Linked DNA regions of Drosophila melanogaster. The protein of the gene in region 1 interacts with the protein of each later gene in a pairwise test. Each region holds a gene or a part of one and is shown in the gene's direction. Other genes may lie near its edges.

Region 1 (4,691 bases):
TATTTCATGTTGATTGCTGATTGCAGCTGTGCCTGCAAATGTTTTAAATCGCCCATTCAATAATAACTTTCATTTTATTGAATAGTTTTAGGAGATTACCATAACATAAAATAAACGTTCTATTCAAAGCAAATTCGCTAAATATTTCACTGAAAACATTTATAATTTTATGTAATTAAAACGTGAATTTAGAGTGAACTAGAAATCAAAATCAGAGTTCAAAATAATAGCTGGCCTATGCCAAAATAACATTGGAATACAGAAAATTCATAAATAAATCATCAATTTATCAATGCATAACAATTGCGCAATGTTAATTTTCAAACTGCTGTTTACCAATTTGCTCTTGAGTGGATTTGGTTTAATTAGTGCCGTTTCTGCTCTAACTGTCTATGAAATCAATTCAAATATCTAAACAATAAGTGCGTTCTGTAACCTATACGGCAGTGCAAATATAGGCCATAACCCATGCCCTCGTATTCACACATCTGAAAGTTATTTAATCCGCTCAGCAATTTCGATTGCCATTTATTCACTGGCAGAGTTCAAGACAAGTGCATTTCAGCATACCCGAATTCCACATGCGGACATAAATATTTGAGTAATTGATTTCCCAAGTCGACGATGGGAAAACTTCCAATTTCTTGGCTTGACTACTTTTGGGCCAATGCAAATGGTTTATTTTTGACCGCAGAATCCTTCGACTTGAGCGGACAGTTGAGGTTCTCGAACTAATTGCAAAATTGTCAATGATTTATTCAGTTGGCAATTAAGGTGCCAACTAACGGTGTGGCTGGCACGGCTATATCGATTTGAAAATATTCAATAATCCCGGAGCCTTGATAAGCTCATCAAACATGCACATGGCCATCAGCAGGGGGGGGCAAGTTTGTATTTAGAGCCAAGTGTGTTTGGTGAAGGGGGGTTAGCTGTATATTTCAGGGTTTCCCCTTTTTTTGTCGAGCGGTTTGGGGGGGGGTTTTGCGAGGGGACACAAAAGTACAAGTTGCTATGGATCAAGCTCAAGGCGTGGCAGTTGGGCATTAGCTCTATGGTGGAGCACGGCAACCAAGCGAACAAAGGTCAACTCGACAAGTGAGTTAAATGACAAGGACCTCACCTTGCCTTCCTTGGGCTTCGGCTTTGGCTTTGGCCCGTGCGTGTTTGCATGTTTGGCTCGATGAGGCGACGCGACCCCAAAAATGAAACTCAACTTTGGCTTTGACTGCGGCTCGGGATTGTGGCGTGCAAGCATTATGGCCTTTCGCTTTCAAAACAATGCCCCCATCCTGTTTCCCGGTTGGCCTAGTGGCACTTGCTCCTTGTTGTTGGTTTTTCGCATTGCCCTTGGCCAATTGCGAGTGAATTTTGATGTTTTGACTGGCCATTCCTGGGGCCATTTGACAACTCTATAAAACCGGTGTCCTTAAGCCCGCCCTCGTCCTTGCGCCCAACCCCCAATTACCGTCCAACTACCACCCACCTACACCCCGCTACACCCACCCACAAAGTAAACGTAATTGCCCGGAGAGTTTCGCGACTTTCGACTTGGCCAGCAAACTGAAAAAGCGAAACTTCAAAAAACCCGACTTGACTTGGCAACTGGAAAAGTGGAAAAGCGGAAGCACGAGCTTTCCCACCGAAAAGCTCTCGTGCTCTAAGCTTTCGTCCTGGCGAGGCGAAAACGTAAATGTCAGTCATGGAGTTCCAGTCGTCGGATACATGTGGAACACAACGAACACAGCAGGAGCCTCTCGCGTCTCATCCCCCGAATACAATGCGAAAAAGTCTGTACAAAAAATAGACAAATAAGGAGCAGGAGCGAAAACACCACTCTGTGCATAAGATATAACTCCCGCAGAACTGAATACCTGCAAAAAGAAATACGCGTTAAATGGAATTACGGTGCGGGAATTGATAAAGTGAAGTGTGTTACAGCTAGAAAGCAAGTGAAATAAAACGAATACATTAATAATTCATGCCCCTCATAGTCAGAAGCTTACTAGTTTGATAAGGAATTCAACGTAAATCTGATATAGTAATGTAGAAAAGTTGTACAAAGTAATATACATAGCATATAGCATATAGCACAGTTACACAGAACACACCGCAAACTCAAACAAAGTTGACAAAAAAAAAGCTCACGCCCCTCACATCTCAGTTTTTTCTCGAATTATTTGTGAAAGTGCAACAAACATATATAAAAAATAAAAAAGAAAAGGGAGGAGAGAGCACAGCAAAAAAAGGCAGTGACAGCAGGACCTGCAAAGGAATTGCCATCATTTGGGGATTACGGAATTATCGGGATCCGTTCTCATTAAAATGGATTTAAGGCAATGCCGATGTGCTGAGCTGCATTTGTGCATGGGATTATCGATTGTAATGCGCAGTCATCAAATTATGTTTGAACAACGCCGCCGCGACAGCGATAATAGCAACAATAACAACAACAACAACAACCAAATCAACAACAAACACTGATTTGGCCCCTGACCCCCTTTGGCAGCACCCCCTCCATCCAACACCCCCTACGACCCTGCCCAAGCAAAAGGAGCAGCGAAAAAGAAGAAGCGTCTTATGAAACAATTGAAGCACCGGCCAAAGGAGCAAAGGAGCAGACAAAGACAGAGACAAAAACATCGGCAAAGGATAAAACGGAGGCCGAGAAGAAGAGGAAGCAGTAGTAGCAAAGCAGGAAACAACAACAACAACAACCGCAACATCGCATTTTTAAACGGCAATACGCAAAGTAAGTGAAGTGTAAAGTGAGCGAGATGGCAATAGAAAGGTGTAGAGTGCCGCGAAGAGAGGCGGAGAGAATACACTTGCAAAAATGTGAGCAGCTAATTCCCAGGGATGTTAAAAAAAATTAAACCCTCATGGTTCAAAGATTCTAGGAGATGGACAAGTGATGAATGGTCAGTGGAAATATATGTATGTTTTAAGCCAAGTGAAATCAAAATGATTTGAGAAGTACAAATAAAAGAAAGAAAGGAAAGAATGATATATGATATTTATTGGTTGTAGTACAGGAAAATAATAGTTAAAATGATATCCCGGATTGATGGTCATTACAATGATCGTACCACAAAACTCTTTCTAACTCAAATTAAATTGTTAAAATTATTTTTCAATACAAATTTGATATATTTTTGTTTTTTCGCCGACAAGATGCATAGATCTTTCATAGAATCTGAAATCTATATCTTTTTTATATTGCTTTTGAGAAGAGTAAACCGATCATCATCTACGATCACTCCTTTTTGTTCTGTGTAGGTATGAAGAGAGCAGGTGGGAAGGCAGTGAAGTGAAGTGAAGCATTTGTCGCATTTGTGCAGAATTCCCGACGTAATTAATGTTTAAAGTCTGTGTGTGTGTATGTGTGCGAAGGTTTGTAAACTAGGTCACTAGGAAGTTAGCCCCTTGACGACCATCCCCTCTCATCAGCGCCTCTTCAGCGGCAACTCTACGTCAAAGGTGTCAACTCGCCAAATCTGCAACCACACCTTAGTTAAGTGAGCCACCCCGTAGCCACCAAAATTATCCACAGCACCACCACCTTTTATTCGTCCTTAACACACCGCCATGATTAACGCGCCTCAGTGCGATTAACTGGCAAACAAATTTGGAGTGACGCTGCGGCGATGTACATACATACATATATGTATGCATGTTTGTGCTAAACCGACAGCATTTCCATTCAATAACACACGCGGCTCGTATGCAAACACTGTAAAAAGGTTTTATGCTAAAAAAGACGCCGTATTTGTGCATGAAAAACTGTCATTCATCATCCAACCAACACAAATAACCGGTAATGGCATCGCCACATTATGGCTTTGTATTTTTTACATCCTCAAACACAAAAAAACTTTAGTTGATTTCTGACTTGCATCGCATTCATCACCCACTAAAGTCGAGCAATCAATCCTCAAAATACGTATACGCACTGTTAGTTCAGTTGATTAATAGGCTAATTATGAAGGAAACTGAAAGGAAACACTAAATCAATAAATCCTGGCAAATTAGCATCAGTATATATTTGTGTTAGTGCAAACATTTAAGTTTTCTATCAATTTTAAATACAAATATGTTCAGAATTAAGATATATTTCAAAGGGAACTATGCTTTGTTTAATTAAGATTTAAGGTTTTATAACTATAAAAGCCTTCAAAATGTGCCATCTATTTTATATTCACTTACAAGCAGATTTCAATCAAGACCACTCTTTAATATGATATATTATGTCTAGAACAACCGAGAAGGCACTCTTAAATTAAATATTTTAGTACCGTAATAAATTATGAAACGTGCTGACGGTAAAATATATAATACAATTCATACTTTAAGTTATATTTTTTTTTTGCCCTATATGGTTTTACGTATCGGTGTGTATGTGAGTACCTCGCACACGCAGGACATAGAGATAAAAAGGCTTCTCCCACATAAAAGTTCTATTCTGTTTTTTTTTTTTTATAGAAAAATATTGCTGGCAGGAGTTTAGAACATTGCCAAAGGGGATGCGGACAGATGAAGGGGCGGGGGCGTGGCGGGTAAAAGCCATAAAACTCAGGCGCCGAAGCGCAAAATGCCCTTGCCCTGAACAAAAAGAAGAAATTGAACAGCAACAACCAACAACAAAAACAAAGAAGAACAAGAGCAAATAAAATACAAACTGCTTATTTATTTAT
Region 2 (3,144 bases), on another chromosome or scaffold:
AGAATACAAGAATATTAGCTTTACAGTGTGGGATGTGGGTGGCCAAGACAAAATTCGTCCCCTGTGGAGGCACTACTTCCAGAATACACAAGTAAGTGTGATTTCAGCTTTTCCACAGATTCCAGAAAATTCTATATGATGTTAACAGCTTGTAATGATTATGCATTGTGATTATTCAAGTTTATTTTGTTTCAAGACGGGACTGACTATATTATCTTAGAGATCTATCTCCTACGATTCAAGCCAGGACAATTGGAATAAAGTTTTCATTTGAATCGTTACAGGGTCTTATCTTCGTCGTGGACAGCAATGACCGAGAGCGTATCGGTGAGGCGAGAGAGGAGTTGATGCGCATGCTGGCAGAGGACGAGCTGAGGGATGCAGTCTTACTAATCTTCGCAAACAAACAGGTAGGTCCAAGCAAAGGTTGTCGTTATCAGTAGCCAGTTGCTCGGTCCTTATATTGTCATACTAATATTGCACCTCGCTCTTTTCTGGGATCATTTTAGGATCTGCCAAATGCAATGAACGCGGCCGAAATCACCGACAAGCTCGGCTTGCACTCACTCAGAAACCGCAACTGGTACATCCAGGCGACGTGTGCAACTAGCGGTGATGGGCTGTACGAGGGACTCGACTGGCTGTCCAACCAATTGAAGAACGCTAATCGCTAATTAAACACTAAAATTAAAGCAACAATATGAATACAACTAACTCTGATTTCAAGCGAGCCGAAGCAGTTAACCAGCAACCAGAACCATAGAAAGAGCGGCTGAAGGACATCCAACATCCAGCGGTAAACGGTGGAAATCGACATCAGAAGGAATTTTCACAAAACAGCAGCAGCGGCACCAACACCAACAACAAGAGCAGCAGATCTTCGCATAACTTAAAGGGCTCCGCATGTCCGTATTTCCAAACAAGAAACTGAAATTGTTTATTGAATTGCAAAAACATAACCTTTCAAGCAGCATATAAAGAACGCTATAATATAATTTAAATTCGTATACATAATTATTGGATGTTTAAAAGCAAATCGAGTAAAAGAAAAGCCCAACCAATCACACAAGAAAGGAAACTATAGTATATGGTATAAAAATGTCTTTTTTAAGTTATTTTTGTCCTCTCCCTACCCCTCATCAAAATATATATTTCTTTTTAATTTTATAATATTAAAGTAATATTAATGAGAAAAAACTGTAATTGTAATTGCTCTTTAAAAATACAACAAATACCATTTTAATTTTTAACCCTTCTGTTTCTTGTTGTCGCTTGGTCACGCAAAATCCATTAAAAATCACGCATATATATAAGACCATATTAAAAAGGAAAGTACTACTTAAAAGGTAATTTGAAATAAAATTTAAATATTAATGAAAACTACTGCGCTGTTCGATTTTTGCACATGCGTTTCAAAAAGTCCGCGCAAAATCGTAACTGCCTATCGATACCCTGGTGCCATACACATCAGTTGCCTATCGAATTGTCTACACTACAATAATTTCGGAATTTAACGTTGAACAACACTCAGCGACCAATTGTCAGAAAAAATCGTCATTTTGTTTTATAAATTGGCAAAAGATTAAATAAAAGAAAGCACAGCATGTCCGCCAAGCAAAACCCAAAAAAGTTAAAGTGGGCGCTGGACTTTAACGGGAGGTAAGGATTGCTAGCCTGCGCGGTGACTCAAGTTCTTACCACTTTTGCTTTTTCCTGCAGCAAAAATGCTGATATTCCTTCGCCGCTGGGCTACAATCCATCTGCTTTGGTGAACCAGAGTGAAGTGGTGCGCGACCAGCGCCTGGTCATCAAGAAGTCGTGGGACCTTGCCCTGGGACCTCTTAAGAACGTGAGTAGCAGCCCTTTGGAAAGACCCGTGCTTAACCTTTGGATTCCCTCAGATTCCCATGAATCTATTCATCATGTACATGTCAGGAAACTCGATTTCCATTTTTCCCATCATGATGGTCGGCATGATGCTGATCCGGCCTATCAAGGCCATCTTCACCACCCAGGTGACTTCCAAAATGGCGGAGGGGGCCCAGGGAACTGGCCAGCGCATCGTCTACTTCCTGGGCAACCTAGCAAACGTGGCTTTGGCCCTCTACAAGTGCCAGAGCATGGGGCTCCTCCCCACCCACGCCTCCGATTGGTTGGCATTTGTCCAGCCTCAGACACGCCTGGAATATTACGGCGGAGGAATTTCGTTTGTCTAGTTTTACACATATAGATTCTCTTTATTTGATCATAGATAAATTGGTTTAAACTAAAATTGTGGTCTTATTCCGCCAGTCAGTCGTCTAGTATCTTCTTGGCCTCCTTTTTGATGTCATCCACTAGTTTCTCGCCGGGCGATCTGTTAAAGAAAATAGTAAAATAATTAAGATACAGAATGATAATATGATCTTATTTAGCATTGATTTCGTCATGGTTGCACCTGGCAACAAATTTTTATTCGGAAAAGCCATCATTCACCACAGTAGAAAGATATCATCACGACTTCGCACGCATTTTTTCAGCACTTTGTCCTATTTTCAGAATTTGTAAAACAAGCGCGTGGAAAGCTTAATATAAGATATCGAAAAAAAATCCAGGTTTAGTTGACAAGTTCGACTTATAAAATTTTTACAATTTTAATTACAAAGGCATTTGACAGAGTGTGGCTCGATGGACTTTTGTTTAAAATAATCAAGCTGTTGCCCCAAAACACACATAAGCTACTGAAGTCATACCTATATAACAGAGTGTTTGCAATAAGATGCGATACAAGCACTTCACGCGATTGCGCAATCGAAGCTGGAGTGCCGCAAGGCAGTGTACTGGGTCCAATCTTATACACCCTGTATACGGCGGATTTCCCCATAGACTACAATCTAACAACCTCCACGTTCGCTGATGATACCGCGATACTCAGTCGCTCGAAATGCCCAATAAAAGCCACGGCACTCCTATCCCGACACTTAACATCTGTAGAACGATGGCTTGCCGACTGGAGAATTTCAATAAATGTTCAAAAATGCAAGCAGGTTACCTTTACCTTAAACAAACAAACATGCCCACCACTGGTCTTGAATAACATATGCATTCCACAAGCCGACGAGGTAACATATCTGGGAGTTCATCTGGACAGGCGGCTCACTTGGC
Region 3 (4,216 bases), on another chromosome or scaffold:
CCTTCGCCTGGTGTGCCATTTGGTTCGTTTTTGCCGCTGACAATGCAGTGGAATCTCGTTACATAACCCAGGAAGAACTCCACTATATCGAATCGTCTCTGAAGCACAATGAGGACTATCACAAGACCGTAATTCCCGTACCATGGATGGCGATTTGGACCTCGGCACCATTTCTTGCTCTTACGCTGACGCGTTGTTGCGCGACCTGGGGTCTGAGCACCCTCCAGGCCCAAATCCCAACTTATATGAACGGAGTTCTGGATATGGACATGAAAAGCAATGCATTCTTTTCGGCATTACCATTTCTGGCCATGTGGATTATGTCGTATGTGTACCTGATAATCGCCGATGTTCTGCTCGCCGGAAACAGGCTGAGTTTAACGGCCCTCCGGAAGACCTTCAACTCGTTGGCCTTCTGGATTCCTTGTGCCACTTTGATTGGAATCGGATTCCTGGATCAGGAGCAGAAGAACCTGGCAATTGCTTTGATGACCATCAGTGTCGGTGTCAACAGTGGAGCAACAATCGGAAGCTCCTTGAACACCATAGATCTATCCCCGAATCATGCGAGTATTCTAATGGGAATCTTGAATACGGCTGTTACTGTAGTGCCTATAGTAACCCCTTTGATTGTTGGAGTTATTGTTCATGAAGACGTAAGTTTGCACTGTTAGTGTTTATAAACAGGGCAGTGATAAATAAGTATAAATAAGAAGACTTTCTGTTGATTGTTTCAGGATAACCGTGCTGAGTGGCAGATAGTGTTCATAATTGCGGCAGTACTTTTTTTTGTCGGAAACTCGGTGTACCTATACTTTGGAACGGCTGTTTCACAACCCTGGGATGCTGAAGACTACCTCACAGTAAAGGTGCCAGAGCTAGCTAAAGTTCCAGCTATCCATGAAGCTGGTAAAGGTATTGATGACCTTCCACGAAGTCCTTGAATTGAAGTTCTATCGATAGCACTTAAGTCTTCAGTTAACATAGAAACTATTTAAAACAACAAAGCAATCAAAATAATTTAGAGTATTATTATTAAATTTAATAAGATTTAAGATCTACATCAGTACATTTCATTTGTTTATTAAACGTATAAGTAAAACGATTTGTTTGAATTAAAATGTTTGAGCGTTATTTGCTTATCAAAAGTCGTCAAATTTACCAAAGGTGCGGCCATAAATCAATCCAATAATGGTATGGCAGTAACTACTCTTGATATTACCAATTGATTTTGGAACGCCACACGACCAGGCAATGCTGTTCTAAACAACCTCGTTTAACAGTAGAAAAGGAACTGCAGGTAGGATATTTTCGTCAAGATATCTAAAATTAACTATTAAAGGTGCAAAACCTTGGCTTCTTTCTTGACTAAGTAACCTGAAGGCCGAAATGCCCACCTATTCGAAAAAGGGTTCTCGATATGGCCATGAAAAAGCAATGCATTCTTTTTGGCGCTAACATTTTAGGCCATGTTGCTTATGTGGCATCTATCTTTTACCGAATCGTGCCAGAATCCTTACTAGAATTGTAGAAATGGATGAAAATAATGATTTATTGATTGATTTACAATATTCTGACTAATGACATAATAACTAGTTTGTAAAGTACAACAATTTTTTAATGACGCTTTTTAATTCAATGGTTAAATTCGCCCGCTGTATGACCTTATCACCTGACGTGTCGTATCAGATAAGCAACATTTGGCTTATCGTCTAATTCAATTTGGATTTAAATCCACTCTATGTTCGTGGTCTCACTCACTTAACTTCCCACAGTGATTCCGATCGGTCGTTTAAAAGAAGTCAGGAGGTGTTTTGTTGACCAAATCAAAAATGACGGCCGAGACAAACAAAGGTGCGTGAAAGGAAATCCTTCGGTTCGGATAAGAGTTTGTGAATGAATTGACACCCAACGAACTTGACACAGTGGAAAACCCCTTCATGGCTCAGACCTTGCACTCCGTCTGATTTCTGGGCTTTTCGCACACGCATTGAGTGGTCATAAATTACTACAATAATGGCGCGATAACCGAGTCTCAAGAGCAATTCAGACTTATTTACCCAACTGTTTGTAGACAGGAAGTAACAGTGATAATACCAGTTCGTTTTGTTATTGCAGGACCCGTTCTGGGAATGAGGCATGTCCAGGCGCTACTGATCTTCCTCAATATAACTACCGTATTCATAGGCCGCCTAAATGTGGGCGTGTCTGTGGTGGCAATGACCAATGCGGAAACCACGAACCCGAACTTTCCGGTAAGAATAGGGATCCTATCAAGAAAATACCACTTAGCTTACTAGATTCTCTACTAGGAATACGATTGGACGGAGGCAGAGAAGTCGTACATTCTCTCCAGTTTCTTTTGGGGCTACATCCTAACGCAATTCCTTGGAGGTTATCTCTGCAAGCGCTTTGGAGTCAAGAGTGTAATGTTTTGGGGTGTCTTCGGATCTGGTGTCTGCAGTGCTTTGACGCCGCTGTTCATCGGATTTGGAGAATGGCAGGCCTACTGTGGAATTCGAGTTCTAATGGGATTGGCCCAGGGAGTGGTATTCCCCTGCATTCATCAGCACCTGGCTAAATGGTCACCGCCCGAGGAAAGAAATCGGTTGGGAGCTCTGAGTCACACTGGAATCGAGTGCGGCAATGTGAGTGCCATGTTCCTGAGCGGAATGATAGCCAAGAGCTCCCTGGGATGGCCCGGAATCTCATATGTCTCGGCTGGAGTGGCCTTCTTCTGGTGTACATTATGGTTCGTCTTCGCTGCCAACCATCCTACGGAATCTCGTTTCATAGGAGAGAACGAACTGATCTATATTGAGTCGTCTCTAAAGCACAATGAGTCATACCACGCTACCATTATACCCATTCCCTGGAAGGCAATTTGGACGTCGGCACCATTCCTGGCCCTGCTCATAGTACGATGCGCTGAGAACTGGGGACTGAGCACTCTGCAGGCCGAGATCCCATCCTATATGAACGGAGTCCTCGACATGGACATGAAGAGCAATGCGTTCTTCTCGGCACTCCCATTCTTGGCCATGTGGTGCATGTCGTATATTTACCTAGTCGTAGCCGATGTGCTCTTGGGCAAGAACTCGGTGTCCTTGACGATTTTGAGAAAGACCTACAACTCCATTGCCTTCTGGATTCCTGCTGCCACTTTGGTGGGCATTGGCTTTTTGGACAAGGAACAAAAGAACTTCGCGATTGCTCTGATGACCATCAGTGTGGGCGTGAATAGTGCTCAAACCATTGGCAGTGTTTTAAACACAATTGATCTATCGAAAAATCACGCTAGCATTCTAATGGGAATTGTGAATACAGCGGCGAATTTCGTGCCCATAGTCACTCCTTTAGTTGTTGGATGGATTGTTAAGGAAAATGTGAGTGCTTGCAAAAGTTGGTAGGAAGTAAAGATTTTTAATTGCTTATTGTATCCTTTCCTTTCAGTCTGATCGCTCCCAATGGCAGATCGTGTTCATCATTGCCTCCGTAATCTTCTTTGTGGGCAATTGCATTTACTTGGTGTTTGGCACGGCCGAAACTCAGCCCTGGGATGCCGAGGACTATCTGCAGACACAGAACCCGGAACTTGCCAATAGACCACCTATGCAGGCGTTATCCTTTCCAATTAACGAAAATTCCAAAGAGAAAATTAATAGTAAAAGCCATTAATTCTTAACCCATTTAACGCATTTATTTTTTAGACTAGTCTGGATAACCAAATTTACATTTTAGCATTTGGTTTTTATTTGTTCACTTTAGTGGTCTAAAAATCATAACTTGGTAGAGAGATAGCAAACGATTCTTTTATCTATAACTGACACTCAAATTGAGTTATTCTTGATATTTTGAAAATGCCATTGAGGGCGACATCACTAAATATTTTTAATTACAAGTCCGCAGTCTCAAGAGCTAGTCAGCTATTATTGTTTTGATTGCTCGAAAATATAGACATATTCTTGTGTTTAAAATTCCCTTAGTTACCGTCGCTAGTAGACTGAATTATAGAGCATTTAGTTCTGCAGTTCATTTTTAAGATGCCGTTTGCGAAGACCTAAAAATATTATCTTACGTACAACGATCTCGTCATTGCACTTCTCGCCATATGATTTGTGATAAAAAAAATTGGCAATGCCCACAGTATCACTAAATGGTACACACCTTTATGGTTTCTTTGGAACAAAAATTTAAGGCGCGACCTATAACTTTA
Region 4 (4,228 bases), on another chromosome or scaffold:
GCGCGAACCAAAACATCGAAACGTAAACAATTCTTTGCATCTCAACTCAAATGTTTATACAATTTTATACATCAACGGTCAAGAGAATGGGTACAACCAATTCAAAATCAGAAGCAAACAATTACTGAGACAGTCGACTTAAATACAATTTTTAATAAAATCTGCATTTTCTAGCAGTAAATCGATGTATTCTATTAATTTCTGCATACATTTTGCTCTATTTGTGATATAATTATCATTATTATTAATTGAATTATGCCAATGAAAGTACTTTCTATATTTGTGGATTCAATCATGCGAATATAGGTATATATTATTATGCTGATTAGGCAGGTCAGACGGACTTATATACAATACACAAAATATGGATCGATATTTGTTTCTTTTTGCATATTGCTATTAATCGTTTTCCTTCCATTTTATTTTGTAGCGCGATAAGCAGAGCATCGTAAGTTGCGTTCCGAAACTGTCAATCCAATAATTAACAGAAATTCACTTAGTAATATAAACTGAAAGTTGATGGCTTTATAAGGCGTAAGAGTCTGAAGATGTAAATGATGTTGCTCATCAACTGAAAATATAGCTAAATTTGTATGATTGAATCTATTTTTGGCAAAGCAAGGGAATTTTTCAACGGTATTGAGATCTATTTCAATATCATAAACATTTGTTTTAACACCTATGAAACGCACTGTTCGCAGGCTCGTACGCATAAACATTCAACAGATCCGAGTAAAATTTGTTAAATTTATTGTAGAGAAAGCGCGCAAATGTCGTAAGTGTGTGATTCCATACAAATAAACAATGTACTCTAGGTTTTTTAATATAAAAATGAACGAAGATTAACCGAACGGACTTCAGTTGTGCGCTAAACTTTGCAAACGTCGGGCCAAATTCTGTCCGCCGATCTCAGTTCTTTCGAATAGCAAATTTTCACAAATGGAGTCAATTAGCAGCATGATTTATTTAGTGGCCATGATGTCATTGATCATCGGTGGCAGCCAAGCGATTCCTTATCGACGTACGATTTTTCCAAATAACACATATATTTTCCAGTAATATACGTTGATTTTCCCTTTCACCCTATAGCCTCGGCGTATCTGTACAATCAGCAGTACTGTATGGATACATTGACGGGTCGGCAGCTTTATATCGGTGAAGTCTTCACGCGAGAGGATCAGTGCGTCCGCATCCAATGCCTGGAAACGCTGCAACTCTGGGAGGATAGGTAAGCGTGCCGTACTAGTATGCCATAGCATCGGGTAACAGATCATCGTACTCATCCATGGTCCAGCTGCCAGGTGCCGAAACTGACGCAGGGCAATTGCACGCCAGTTCCATCGACGAACCCGCATGCCGAATATCCCCGATGCTGCCCACTGTATGAGTGCAAGAGCTACGAGTCGAATTCGGGGGGAACTCTGGAGCAGACCAACATATATGACCACTATGGTACTCTGCGATCATCCCATCTCACTGAGATGATAGTGATCGACGGGCGGACACCCCCTCGTGGCGAGATTCACACGGCGTCGGCGAGGAAGTATCAGGTGTGAGAAGTGAACTGGTACTCTGTTCCTAGGACTACTTAGTCTTTAGTGCAGATCTAATGTGTACAAATACAAATGGAGTTTATTGCGGAATACTTGAATATGTTAAATAAATTTAAATTTCACATTTTTTTTGTCTAAAGAAGTGTATTTTTTCCACTGTACTCGCTATTCAAACTTGGCGCCCTATCGATAGCATTGCTTAGCTTATCAAATAAATTATCTCAGACAACGGGCTACGATTTGAATTCCTTACTTCAGGATCGTTGAGTTTATATTTCTATTTATTTTCTCGGGATTTTCAATATTATATTTTAGCATAATATCGATATTAGCGGTATTTGTGGCCGTCTGCGATAGGCATTTAGTTATCACGTAGCCAGACATCGAATAACGATTGCACCACTTATCGATAATAAAGCACAAGAGACAGTAAAATATTTAACAATTTCTACGAATCAACAAATTATAAAGCCGCAGTGAGCAATTAAAATCAGTTGGAAGAAACGCTAGTGCCCCACATAGGAATCCGAATCAAGCAGCACTTACCGAAGGACAACCAATTGCCCTCTAACCGAATTTCACCACAACAACACAATGTTGCTGCGTCTAGCACTTTCCACCGCCCGTCCAGCCGGGGCTATCAAGATCCTGGCCCAGTCTCCGGCCCAGCTGTTCCGGGCCAATGCCAATCCCAATCTGAATCTCTCCACGGTGCGCACCTACGCCCGCAGGGTGGTTCGCACCCGTGAGCCCGTCGAAGAGATGCGTGCTCCCTCGCTGAAGGAGAAACTGATGGGTCCGCCAAGTGCCAATGGTAAGTCTCTTGTGTAATCCCCCATCTATGTATATCGGTCGTCTAATTGTACTCTTCTGGCGTGCAGCATACTCCATGGGCAAGGGCGCTGCCGCCGGAGCAGCCGCCGTGGGATTGGGCGCCCTGTGCTACTACGGCGTGGGATTGGGAAAACAAACCAGCATCGCGGATAATGCCATGTGAGTGATAGCACGAGTCTCTCACTTGCGAAATACAGGGACTTTAATAACTGAGATTATATTTTCCGTTTAGCATGTGGCCCCAGTTTGTGCGCGATCGTATCCAGAGCACCTATGCCTTTTTCGGTGGCTCTTGCGTTCTCACCGCGGCCGCAGCAGCAGCCACCTTCCGTTCGCACCGTCTCCTGGAGCTGGCCTCGCGTGGCGGCATCTTGGTGAGTCCTCTTGCACAATTCGTAGTTCTTGCCGCCTACCTGACCAACAGACACAACAGAACATAACACTTCCTCTTCATTTGCCTTTAATCGCTTAGGCGACCATTGCTTCGCTGGCGCTGGTCATTGGTAGTGGAGCAGTTGCCCGCTCGATTGAGTACCAGCCGGGTCTGGGAGCCAAGCATCTGGCCTGGGCGGTGCACTGCGCCATTCTGGGCGCCGTGATCGCACCCATTTGCTTCATGGGCGGACCGATTTTGACGCGCGCCGCTCTCTACACGGGCGGCATTGTTGGTGGCTTGTCCACGATCGCCGCGTGTGCACCCAGCGATAAGTTCCTCTACATGGGCGGCCCACTGGCCATTGGCTTGGGCGTGGTGTTCGCCTCCTCGCTGGCATCCATGTGGCTGCCGCCCACCACGGCGCTGGGCGCAGGTGAGTTGCCAGAAAGTTCCACTGGGGCTAGCACCACTTCGCATTATATTTTATGAATTGTCAAGCGGAGTTAACCCATTCAACTCTCTTTTCGCAGGTCTGGCCTCCATGTCCCTATATGGCGGCCTCGTCCTCTTCAGTGGCTTCCTGCTCTATGACACTCAGCGCATGGTCCGTCGCGCTGAGGTCTATCCCCAGTACAGCTACACTCCCTACGATCCAATCAACGCGTAAGTTCACTCCTCATCCATACCGTGCTCTGAAACTCTATACTTTTTGGTTCTATCTTTTAGCTCAATGTCGATCTACATGGACGTGCTGAACATATTCATCCGCATCGTTACCATTCTGAGTGGTGGTCAGCGCAGGAAGTGAGCACTGGAGACGAACATGTGATGCGAGGATTATACCCTCTAAAATATACATACATATTTATACTGTTATTAAAATAAACCGATCGAGTTAGGAAGCAAAATGTACGAACTTTGTGTTTCAATTTGGCTAATTTCAATTAGTGTCTTAATACACTCCAGACCTAGAAATTAAATAATATATTGTCCATATATTATATACAATCTCTAAAAAGAAAGCATTTTTTAAGATCAATTTAAAATGTTAGTCAATTTTAAGCTTGATAGCGATAAATGTAGCTAGCTTTTAACCGATATTTATAGCAGTTGGGTTCGTTGTTATCGATAGCTTAATTACTTTTATTACGGATCGTTTGCCGTATTACCTAATTAGTTAGAAATTTACCTCGTGCAATATTTGTTATTGGTCGTACAGAAGCTCTGTTTTTTTTTTTTTAATTCAAAAACCGATGGCAAAGTGAAATTGGGCTCTAGGGATGTATCGATATGCAATCGATGTTTCATTCAGCTTTTTTCGACAGGACCTAAGCATTCCTGTCAAGAATTGTTTAAATATTTCGAGTCGAGCCGGTCGACAGTTCGAAAATAAGTTCTCCCGCAGAAGCGCCAAGATTCCGGATTTTAGGTGGCTGTGAGAAAAACACCCACGCCGACTTTCCAC

Evidence for each region.
Region 2: the proteins of GABA-B-R1 (region 1) and EMC4 interact in a two-hybrid assay, tested with the Drosophila melanogaster proteins (one large-scale study listed by BioGRID).
Region 3: the proteins of GABA-B-R1 (region 1) and CG9825 interact in a two-hybrid assay, tested with the Drosophila melanogaster proteins (one large-scale study listed by BioGRID).
Region 4: the proteins of GABA-B-R1 (region 1) and CG2076 interact in a two-hybrid assay, tested with the Drosophila melanogaster proteins (one large-scale study listed by BioGRID).

What each region holds. Positions count from the first base shown.
Region 1 is NT_033779.5:15,014,648-15,019,338, forward strand, and holds the start of GABA-B-R1 (metabotropic GABA-B receptor subtype 1), read left to right. Parts: upstream 1-1,683; 5' UTR 1,684-2,749; intron 2,750-4,691.
Region 2 is NT_037436.4:22,866,612-22,869,755, reverse strand, and holds EMC4 (ER membrane protein complex subunit 4), read left to right. Parts: upstream 1-1,512; 5' UTR 1,513-1,603; coding exon 1,604-1,659; intron 1,660-1,719; coding exon 1,720-1,849; intron 1,850-1,901; coding exon 1,902-2,216; 3' UTR 2,217-2,292; coding exon of another isoform or gene 2,293-2,356; 3' UTR 2,357-2,581; downstream 2,582-3,144. Other genes in the region: Arf1 (ADP ribosylation factor 1), read left to right, coding at 1-91, 285-410, 510-674.
Region 3 is NT_033778.4:22,835,604-22,839,819, forward strand, and holds CG9825 (uncharacterized protein), read left to right. Parts: upstream 1-1,757; 5' UTR 1,758-1,832; coding exon 1,833-1,854; intron 1,855-2,118; coding exon 2,119-2,255; intron 2,256-2,312; coding exon 2,313-3,386; intron 3,387-3,453; coding exon 3,454-3,678; 3' UTR 3,679-3,688; downstream 3,689-4,216. Other genes in the region: CG12490 (uncharacterized protein), read left to right, coding at 1-656, 738-944.
Region 4 is NC_004354.4:11,088,432-11,092,659, forward strand, and holds CG2076 (uncharacterized protein), read left to right. Parts: upstream 1-1,778; 5' UTR 1,779-2,147; coding exon 2,148-2,367; exon of another isoform or gene 2,368-2,434; coding exon 2,435-2,546; exon of another isoform or gene 2,547-2,619; coding exon 2,620-2,761; exon of another isoform or gene 2,762-2,859; coding exon 2,860-3,196; exon of another isoform or gene 3,197-3,293; coding exon 3,294-3,426; exon of another isoform or gene 3,427-3,489; coding exon 3,490-3,571; 3' UTR 3,572-3,667; downstream 3,668-4,228. Other genes in the region: vago, read left to right, coding at 940-1,021, 1,090-1,228, 1,295-1,556.